Linked DNA regions of Nothobranchius furzeri. The protein of the gene in region 1 purifies or fractionates together with the protein of each later gene. This does not show direct contact. Links are inferred from orthologs where the notes say so. Each region holds a gene or a part of one and is shown in the gene's direction. Other genes may lie near its edges. The genes, in order: pomp and psmb4.

Evidence for each region.
Region 2: the proteins of pomp (region 1) and psmb4 purify together in Homo sapiens (affinity purification with mass spectrometry; 3 studies listed by BioGRID and IntAct, counting the BioPlex papers as one, with this or other methods). This does not show direct contact. The link is inferred for Nothobranchius furzeri from reciprocal best matches to the Homo sapiens genes POMP and PSMB4.

What each region holds. Positions count from the first base shown.
Region 1 is NC_091747.1:41,727,812-41,731,800, reverse strand, and holds pomp (proteasome maturation protein), read left to right. Parts: upstream 1-1,689; 5' UTR 1,690-1,802; coding exon 1,803-1,805; intron 1,806-2,094; coding exon 2,095-2,192; intron 2,193-2,309; coding exon 2,310-2,370; intron 2,371-2,608; coding exon 2,609-2,710; intron 2,711-2,786; coding exon 2,787-2,880; intron 2,881-3,096; coding exon 3,097-3,164; 3' UTR 3,165-3,415; downstream 3,416-3,989. UniProt on the Homo sapiens protein: Molecular chaperone essential for the assembly of standard proteasomes and immunoproteasomes. Degraded after completion of proteasome maturation. Mediates the association of 20S preproteasome with the endoplasmic reticulum.
Region 2 is NC_091759.1:9,808,348-9,812,880, forward strand, and holds psmb4 (proteasome subunit beta type-4), read left to right. Parts: upstream 1-1,415; 5' UTR 1,416-1,463; coding exon 1,464-1,573; intron 1,574-2,245; coding exon 2,246-2,372; intron 2,373-2,441; coding exon 2,442-2,521; intron 2,522-2,595; coding exon 2,596-2,742; intron 2,743-2,847; coding exon 2,848-2,929; intron 2,930-3,263; coding exon 3,264-3,380; intron 3,381-3,598; coding exon 3,599-3,687; intron 3,688-3,822; coding exon 3,823-3,835; 3' UTR 3,836-3,963; downstream 3,964-4,533. UniProt on the Homo sapiens protein: Non-catalytic component of the 20S core proteasome complex involved in the proteolytic degradation of most intracellular proteins. This complex plays numerous essential roles within the cell by associating with different regulatory particles.

The sequences.
Region 1 (3,989 bases):
TGGTTCAAACAACCGACGCACGTGAGATCACTATTGACATTTCTAGTCTACTTGTTGGAATTTTATATTTTTATTTATTTATTTATATTAATTATCACACCATACGTTTGAGACTAATGTATTTTGAAATGATTTTTTTTGTGCTTGCTTGAAGTGTCACCCCCAAATCAACTTTTTTTTCTGATAAACTATATAAATGCGTGTCTAATCGTACTGCAGACACGTGTAGTCAATAATTTAAAACTTTAGGGCATTTTAGTTAAATTTTCAATTATCTGCCTCAAACTGTCACTGTTGTGCACCTGTCCTGTTGGAGGCGTGTGAGTCTTTATTTGTTGCTTGTTACTACTGTAAACAACACCCTCAATCTCGTTCTTGCACCTTAAATTACTCTATTATTCAGTTGATCGGTTATATTACACAACTCTAGTAAATCATTGCTTTGTTGTGGGGTGACACACTTGATCGCCAGTAACAAAGGTGGAAAACAAGCTAACTTTTCACCGTTTTCCTGCTTAGAGGCAAAACCACGGAGACCAAATATCTAACATAAAGTCTCGTTGGCTTGCTTGGATCGCAGCAACAAGGCGACCAAACATCACCTTCTGGAGTATTTTCATTCTGGAAAGTTACAAATAGTGTATGATTTTATACATCGTTTCTTTCTTTCAACCGCGACATGCACATGAAACACACACACAGAGGCTACACTCACATACCGGTGAGCTAATGCAGGTGCTCTCACACACAACACAACTTCTCTTTTTATACTTCTTCTGTTAGATTATAAATTTGATTGTTTTACTAGAAACACCAGCAAATAAAACGTTTACCTCTCATTCGGACGTCTACATCTGCTCACACCGCAAACAAGTAAGCCGAAAATGTCCGTTATGCAGAACTGCAGCGGCAACAATATGTCATTGGTGCTCCAGTCTTGGGTCTTTCATGTGGATCAAAACCATTTATAATGCTCATTTTGACCACATACCAGTCCCCAACGTCTTTTTTAACCTATCTCTGTGTATTCCGCATCCTTTTTTGGGGGGGGGGGGAGGAATGATGTTTTTAACACTTTCTTTCACCCAAATTAGCTTTTTCTCTGCACCAGTGCCGTTTGTTTCATGGTGTGTTTACACTTGTCAGCCTTCCAACATGGCACATCCCAGCATGCTATGCATAATCACGTGTGACCACAAGCCCTATACTAGGGGGTGACTTGCTCTTTAAGTATATTGTTGTGGGTTAAAAACAAAGCAGCAAAGTGTCTCAAAATTGCTAACCTTTTAAAGATTTATTACTTAAAAAGATTTACAAACACTACATGTGTGTTTCACACATTTGTCCTTTACCAGAATGTTTCATCTGTCTTGTAATTTCCATTTTGTATTTTGTAATTTGTATTTTGTAATTTGAATTTCTTTTATTGTTGATTTATCCAATATATTTACATACAACTGTACAATGTTCAGCGCTTTGGGCTTCCTGACAGGGTTGCAGAAGGCGCTTTATAAATAAAGCTTTGATTGATTGATTGATTGAAACACTAATTTCTTTCATTTATCTGTCCACAAACCATCATTTTTTAAAGAAGTGCAAAGATAAACATGTCACATTTTTTGCGCTTCCTACAATAGGGGATGCAAATTTCGGCAGCTAAGCTCTTTTCGGCACAACACCTTTGCACCTCACTCGTATGATGTCTGTGGCCTGTGCTCTACACCGGATGTCACGTGTTCTAAACACTACAGGAAACGGAAATTTAGGTGGGTCAAAAAGAAAGCGCAAGGAACAAAATCACAATGGTAAGCTAGCATTATTTAACACCAAATTTAAAACTATCCTTTACAGATTTCTAACTGCTGACTTCATCTATTTAACTATAAATAAGTGTACTTAACCCCTCCATGTTGTAGATTATATTCAATATGCGCTTTGAAACGCACCCATTTTGAATTTGATTAGTCACCGGAGCTAATGCTAGTTAGCCTTTTGGGTTATTAGTGCTGGTGTCTAGCTGATGTTAGCGTCGCTGTTTGTGTTAGCTCAGTATGAGCTGATTTAAACGTCATGATGCGATTTTGTGTGCTACAGAATAGCCGAGGACTCCACTCCCAGCTGAAGGACAGTGTCCCTGTCGCTGGACTTTGTCCACAGGGTGCTTACGGAATGCAGGACTCTCTACGCAGCGGGTAAGAAACTACCGCTTTCATATAAACCTAATATTCTACTAGTGTACAGTTATTTAATGACAATCAAGTCGGTGTTATTTTGATAATGAAATAAATCTTTCATTTTTTGTCTAACAGCTTCACGAGCGTAAAGAATGAGCTTCTTCCCAGCCACCCGCTGGAGCTGTCAGAGAAAAATGTAAGTAGTGTTTTACAGCTGTTTTCTGATATGAAGGGACATCACCGTGGTTTTTCATTGTCCAAAGGTCAATCAGGATGAGACTGAACACAGCTAAAATATCAGCATGTGTGTGTCATCTGTGTAATGTTACAATAGACTGATTCCTCAGTGAATAATCGTTTGTTAATTTTTTAACTTTATCTATTATGGAGTTTCTACAGGCTGCTAACTAATCTTTGTGTTTTATACTTTGTAGTTCCAGCTTAACCAGGATAAGATGAATTACTCCACACTCAGGAACATCCAAGGTCTTCATGCTCCACTCAAACTGCAGATGGAGTACCGAGCAGCACGACAGGTAGCTTCGCCTCCTATCACCTCTCCCACATATGCATGCTTCAGTTTTTAAGGCTTTGGTTTTTTTATCCTTCCAGATCCAGCGTCTGCCTTTCTTACCGAGTTCCAACTTGGCTCTCGACACGCTCCGAGGAAGCGATGAATCCATCGGCTTTGAGGACATCCTCAGCGGTGAGAGCCTCATCCTCTTTGTAGACTTTGTTTTCTGACCTCCTTACGGTCAGGTTTAAATAAATATTTAGTTATATACTCTTTTATCACACTACTGCATTCTAATAGTCTTTATGATATCGTCAGCTGAAGTCTGAGTCTCAGATCTGTGTGTGAACATGTGTGCAGACACATTAGCATGAAGCCTAACTAATCATGATGGCTGTGTGTTTGCAGATCCAGCCCAAAGTGAAGTGATGGGAGAGCCACACATGATGGTGGAGTACAAACTAGGATTGTTGTGAGAGCTCCTGTAAATAAAAACCTACACAAAATATTTACTTTGTCTTCTTCAGCATATATTTGATATTTCATTCCAAAACCAAAGTTAGAACCTCAGCTTTTGGAAAATTGTTATTAGAAATCTGTTTTTCTAGCAGGGCCTGGTGTGAGTCAGTGTGTCGGTGTAAAACACACAGAAGCAGGAGTGGTACACCACTTAAGGTTGTTTTTGTGTGATGGATTTTGATTATTTCTAATAAATTTCATGACCTTCCTTGTGGTGTGACTTCATTTCTGTAGTTCTTCATCTGCTTAGCTTGACCTTACACTCCGTTGTCTGAATCTAATACAGCCAGTCAAATAGTAAAAAAAAACCCGCTGGAATTTAAAAAAAAATATATTTTTCTGTGTAAACATGGTTTGTAACACATTTAGATCAACATGACCATAACTTCTTGTATTTAGAGAAATGTATTAATGTTTCAGAGCACAACATGAAGCAGGGTCATCAGTAGGTTGGTTGTGTGGCCACTAGAAGGCACTTAAAGACCGTTCATGGTTCAGAAACAACTCAGAAGTAGAGCCGCTGTGGGTTCTGCAGCACTGTTCTGTGCTCGGGTTAAAAATCAAATTACAACTAAGAAAGATTCTGCTGAACCTTATGTATCCTGCAGTGCAACATTCAAAGTGGCCACGAGGTTATCAGCCTGGAGTGGGTGTCTGAAAAACAATTTGGTCTGCAGGTAAATATTTACATAATAGGATGACTTGCAAGTCTTGTTTTCTGTATGATTCCAGTATTTTGATGGTCAAAATCATGTGATTATGCCTGTTTCCTGTTCATATAG
Region 2 (4,533 bases), on another chromosome or scaffold:
GGAACTTGCTCCACACCTGAGGACTGATGATTTTACAAGTGGACTCTGACTGCCTACATACACACCCCCCACCGCCGGTCTTTCACCTCTTTGTGTGTATGTCTGTACTTCAACTAGAAGGACAATGAAGGTGTGGTGTGTTGCAGCAATAAGGGATCCGCCTGGTTGCTGTGGCAACTCTGACTGTGCAAGCAGGCGTGCCTGGGTTGAAACTGCAGCGTGCGTGTTGCTACCTGCTGAGTGCAGCCCACATGTGTGTGTTTGTGTATGCTGTTGGTGGATTGTACAGCTGACCTGAGCTGCTGTTTGACAGATGCTCTTGTTTTGAAGGTCTGGATTATTGGATAAATTTACACTTTCAATTTCTTACAGCAATATTACAAAATGTATGGCACACATTAAAGAACTTAATAATCCTGTGAAATGTATATCGGTGATAGAGCCTACGGTTTCAGAAAAGGTAGATTCCAAATATGAAACTAATTTATTGTAATGCTCTGGCTGCCAGGTCACCCCCTCTGAGCATGCTTTTGTCCCCAAATCTTACTGAAACATGCACAGAAATGTTTAAATATTATTGGCTCACATTAATTAATTAATTAAATTAATTAATTAATTAATTAATTAATTAATTAATTAATTAATTAATTAATTAATTAATTAATTAATAATAATAATAATAATAATAATAATAATAATAATAATAATTTAGGTTATTATTTTTTAATAAATTACAACTAGGGGAGTCCCAAAGTGAATAAAAGATAAAAGGATACATATTTTTTTCATCATTACTTTTTCTTAGTGTGGACATTAAAGTGTTAATAAAAACAAGCTTCATATGTAGACTATGGTCAGCAAAGAGGACAGCTATTCAAAAAATGTTTACTGGTATGTTTACAGTATGTTTACTGGTATCTGCACAAATGTACATACCAGTAAACAGCAACAGTAATGTTAGAATGTTGTTCAGAGGCATGAAAAAGAGTTTTACGCTAATTTGTTTCCAAAGTTGCTACAGCAACTTTCCTTTTTTAACATATCACATAATTTTAAACTAATGACCCCAAAATTCACATTTTACAATGTTCTCTTTGTTTAAAAGTCAATAATATGCAATTATTGGAAACGGGCATTTTGTTTATTTCTTGACGTAAAAAAAAGAAAATCTCTGTTATTTTTCCTAAATTTTATGTTGGTGTAAATATTAAATTATTTCACAATTAGACATTTGACTGTTTTAGAAAACATGACACTTACAAAAATACAAAAGTCGGGTAGAAATTTTAAAATGGAAGAAATAAATTCACCTTCTAATGCTGACTTAACCATCCTTTAAAGTTTCAGTTGTAATAATTTATTGAAAAGTTATAACAATCTTTGTTTCATCTGTCAAATTAGTTTGTATAAATAAAGTTCTCTTAAAAAAACGTCTCTGTGTCGTCACTTCCTCCACATTCAACATGGAGTCGTACGGAACGAAGCTGAGTTTTTGGGAAAACGGACCAAAGCCCGGACAATTTTACTCTTTTCCCGGTAGCAGTACATCATGTGGTCCGGTTAGACACACGCTGTGAGTAAACGGCATTTTTATAAACTGAATCGGTGTGAAAGTTAACAAATCTAAACGGCGGAATCGGTTTCGGTTTGAACTCCGCTGCTGTGCTGCATCATCATGGCTGCTAACCGATGCTAAATTCACCGTCAATTTGCATCAGTTTTACTGTTCTGTAAAGTATTAGACTCATATTTTGTCTTTACCTAGAGAATATTGTATATATTTTTATTTGCTAGAAAACGTTTTTTTCGGTTTCGGGTTTTGTTTTTCCTTCACTCTTAATGTGTTAGCTTAGTTAGCCGAGCCAGAACTTTGTTTTTGTTTCTAGTCATAAAAAGATCCTGTTCTTTTAGTAAGTAAAACGAATTTAGGTAGTGGTTTGAATTGTGCTGACTGAAGAAAGAAGTTGACAAGCATAATAGTATTAAAAATTGGGCCTTTAACTTGTTTAATCAAGAGTATTTTCAAATTTAATCATGCTTTTTGTTGCGAATCCTTTGAAATCAGTTAAAGTTTGTCAACTTTGAACATAATCTGGAAACGCGATAACAAACGTAACATTTATTAAGTTATTTTTTGAATTTCAGAGAAAAGATTTAAACTAAAATGTATGTGAACTAATCTGGGAGGAATTTCAGCAAAGCCTTAAATTGATTTTATTCTGACATATATTTCTCTTTTCTACAGTAACCCGATGGTGACCGGGACATCGGTGCTTGGTGTGAAGTTCAAAGGTGGCGTAGTCATCGCTGCTGACATGCTGGGCTCATATGGCTCTCTGGCTCGATTCAGGAACATTTCTCGTTTAATGAAGGTGATGACCGCTACTGACAAAGGACTCACTGATGAGTGAAAGTCTCTTAAATCTGCATTTTTGCTGCAGGTGAACGACAACACCATCCTGGGGGCATCAGGTGACTACGCTGACTACCAGTACCTGAAACAAGTCATCGAACAGATGGTGTAAGCTGCTGCTGATCAGAAAAACATTCTGCAGCTTGTGTAAAATGCACTTTCTTAAAGCTTTGTTCTGTTAGGATTGATGAAGAGCTGCTCGGTGATGGCCACAGCTACAGTCCAAAGGCCATCCACTCCTGGCTGACCAGGGTGATGTACAACCGTCGTAGCAAGATGAATCCACTGTGGAACACGGTTGTCATTGGAGGTTTCTACAATGGGGAGAGGTGAGGTGTCCCAAATTATCTAGACACAACATTTAGGATACATCAGATTCATTCTCTTAGCTGTTTTTGGAGATGTAATTAACTGTTTGAATATTTCTTATGTAGTTTCTTGGGCTATGTGGACAAGCTTGGTGTAGCCTATGAGGCTCCCACAGTAGCCACAGGCTTTGGAGCATACCTGGCTCAGGTGAGTTCCTGTTTAGAAAGTCAACAAGTAAATTAAGTGATATTAATTACAGCTTAATTGGAACATGGAAACAAAAAGCTTTTGCCACGTTTGTAAGCTAATAAGTTACAGAGAGGAAGATTCATAAGAGTTCAGAGTGAAAACCCAAATCATATTGTACCATAACAGCTTCAACTTCTACGTTTTACTCTAAGACTTCATATTTGCTTCATCTGTTGTTTAAGAATAGATCTGCTCTGATTTATATACTTTCATATGTTTTAGTATCACAATTGTCATGTCTTACTCTGCTTTAAGAGTGCAGCCTACAGACTGTGTGCGTTTGTGTTTACAGCCACTGATGAGGGAAGTGGTGGAGAACAAGGCGGAGATTACCAAACAGGAGGCCCGGGACCTGGTGGAGCGCTGCCTCAAGGTGCTGTACTACAGAGACGCTCGCTCCTACAACAGGGTGAGTTCACTTTCCATCCCAGACTAATTCCAGATCTAAGATCACTCTTGTGTGCTTGAAATTGCTCATTTTATCTTGCGCTGGCTATCTTTTCCTAATACTCAGCCTCAGTAGTTTCCTATCTAAGGAACCCAGCAAATTGTAACTTAATAGATTGAGAGAACTCTTAGAGACAAGTGTTATAGTGTTTGATGTATTATATGATGTCTGAATTTTAGCATGAGATTGCCATAGTAACAGAGGAGGGCGTGGAGATCATTGGTCCTCTATCATCAGAAACCAACTGGGACATCGCTCATCTGATCAGGTAGGGGGTCAAGATTTATTTTTTGTAAAAATGAAATCTCTGACACAAAATGTTGCCGTTTGTTTTTGTCAGGATCATGTGAAGGATGCTGAAATGTATAAATTTTTTTGTTTTGTGTATTTTTTTTTCCTGCAGTGGGTTTGACTGAAAACAAACAGCAACTAGTTCCCTGCAACATCAAAACAGCTTCTCACTTTCAACTTATCTATCCCAGTTTAGTTTTTTCTGTTTATGGACATTTTTCTAATGGAAAATAAAATGTGTTGATTAAAAATGTGTAGGTTTCCTGGTTTAATCCGTTTCATGTAAAGCTGATCATTTTCTGTAAATGCTTTCTATCTTTTCTACCCACTGGGTGTCTCTGAAAGGCAAAACGTCACCAAACCACACTAAAATCACCAGCAATAACCAAATGTATACTCATCAGTGTTGTCCAGTGATCAAATTGGAAATGGCATCCTAAATGAGGCAGGTATAAGTATGGTAATTTAAAGACCTGGAAAAAATGCACCCGTGACCATTTGTAGATGCAGAACATACGACACCATAAGAAAAGAGCACCAGAAGGAATGCGAGAAGGAAACAACAAAGACTCACAAGAACAACAACAAAAAAAGCAGAGGAGCAAACCCTCAAGTCAGCCATCTTAGATCACTGCAAACAAAATTATCACATCATGGACTGGGATCAAGGGAAAATTATCAACACGGAGAACAACCAGTTCAAACGTTGGGTCAGGGAGGCTGTAGAAATAAGGAAACGTGAGCATTGGAACATGAACAGAGACGATGGGGCCTATCAGATGTCTCGCACCTGGGATTCCCTTCTCCAAAGACCAGCCAGAGG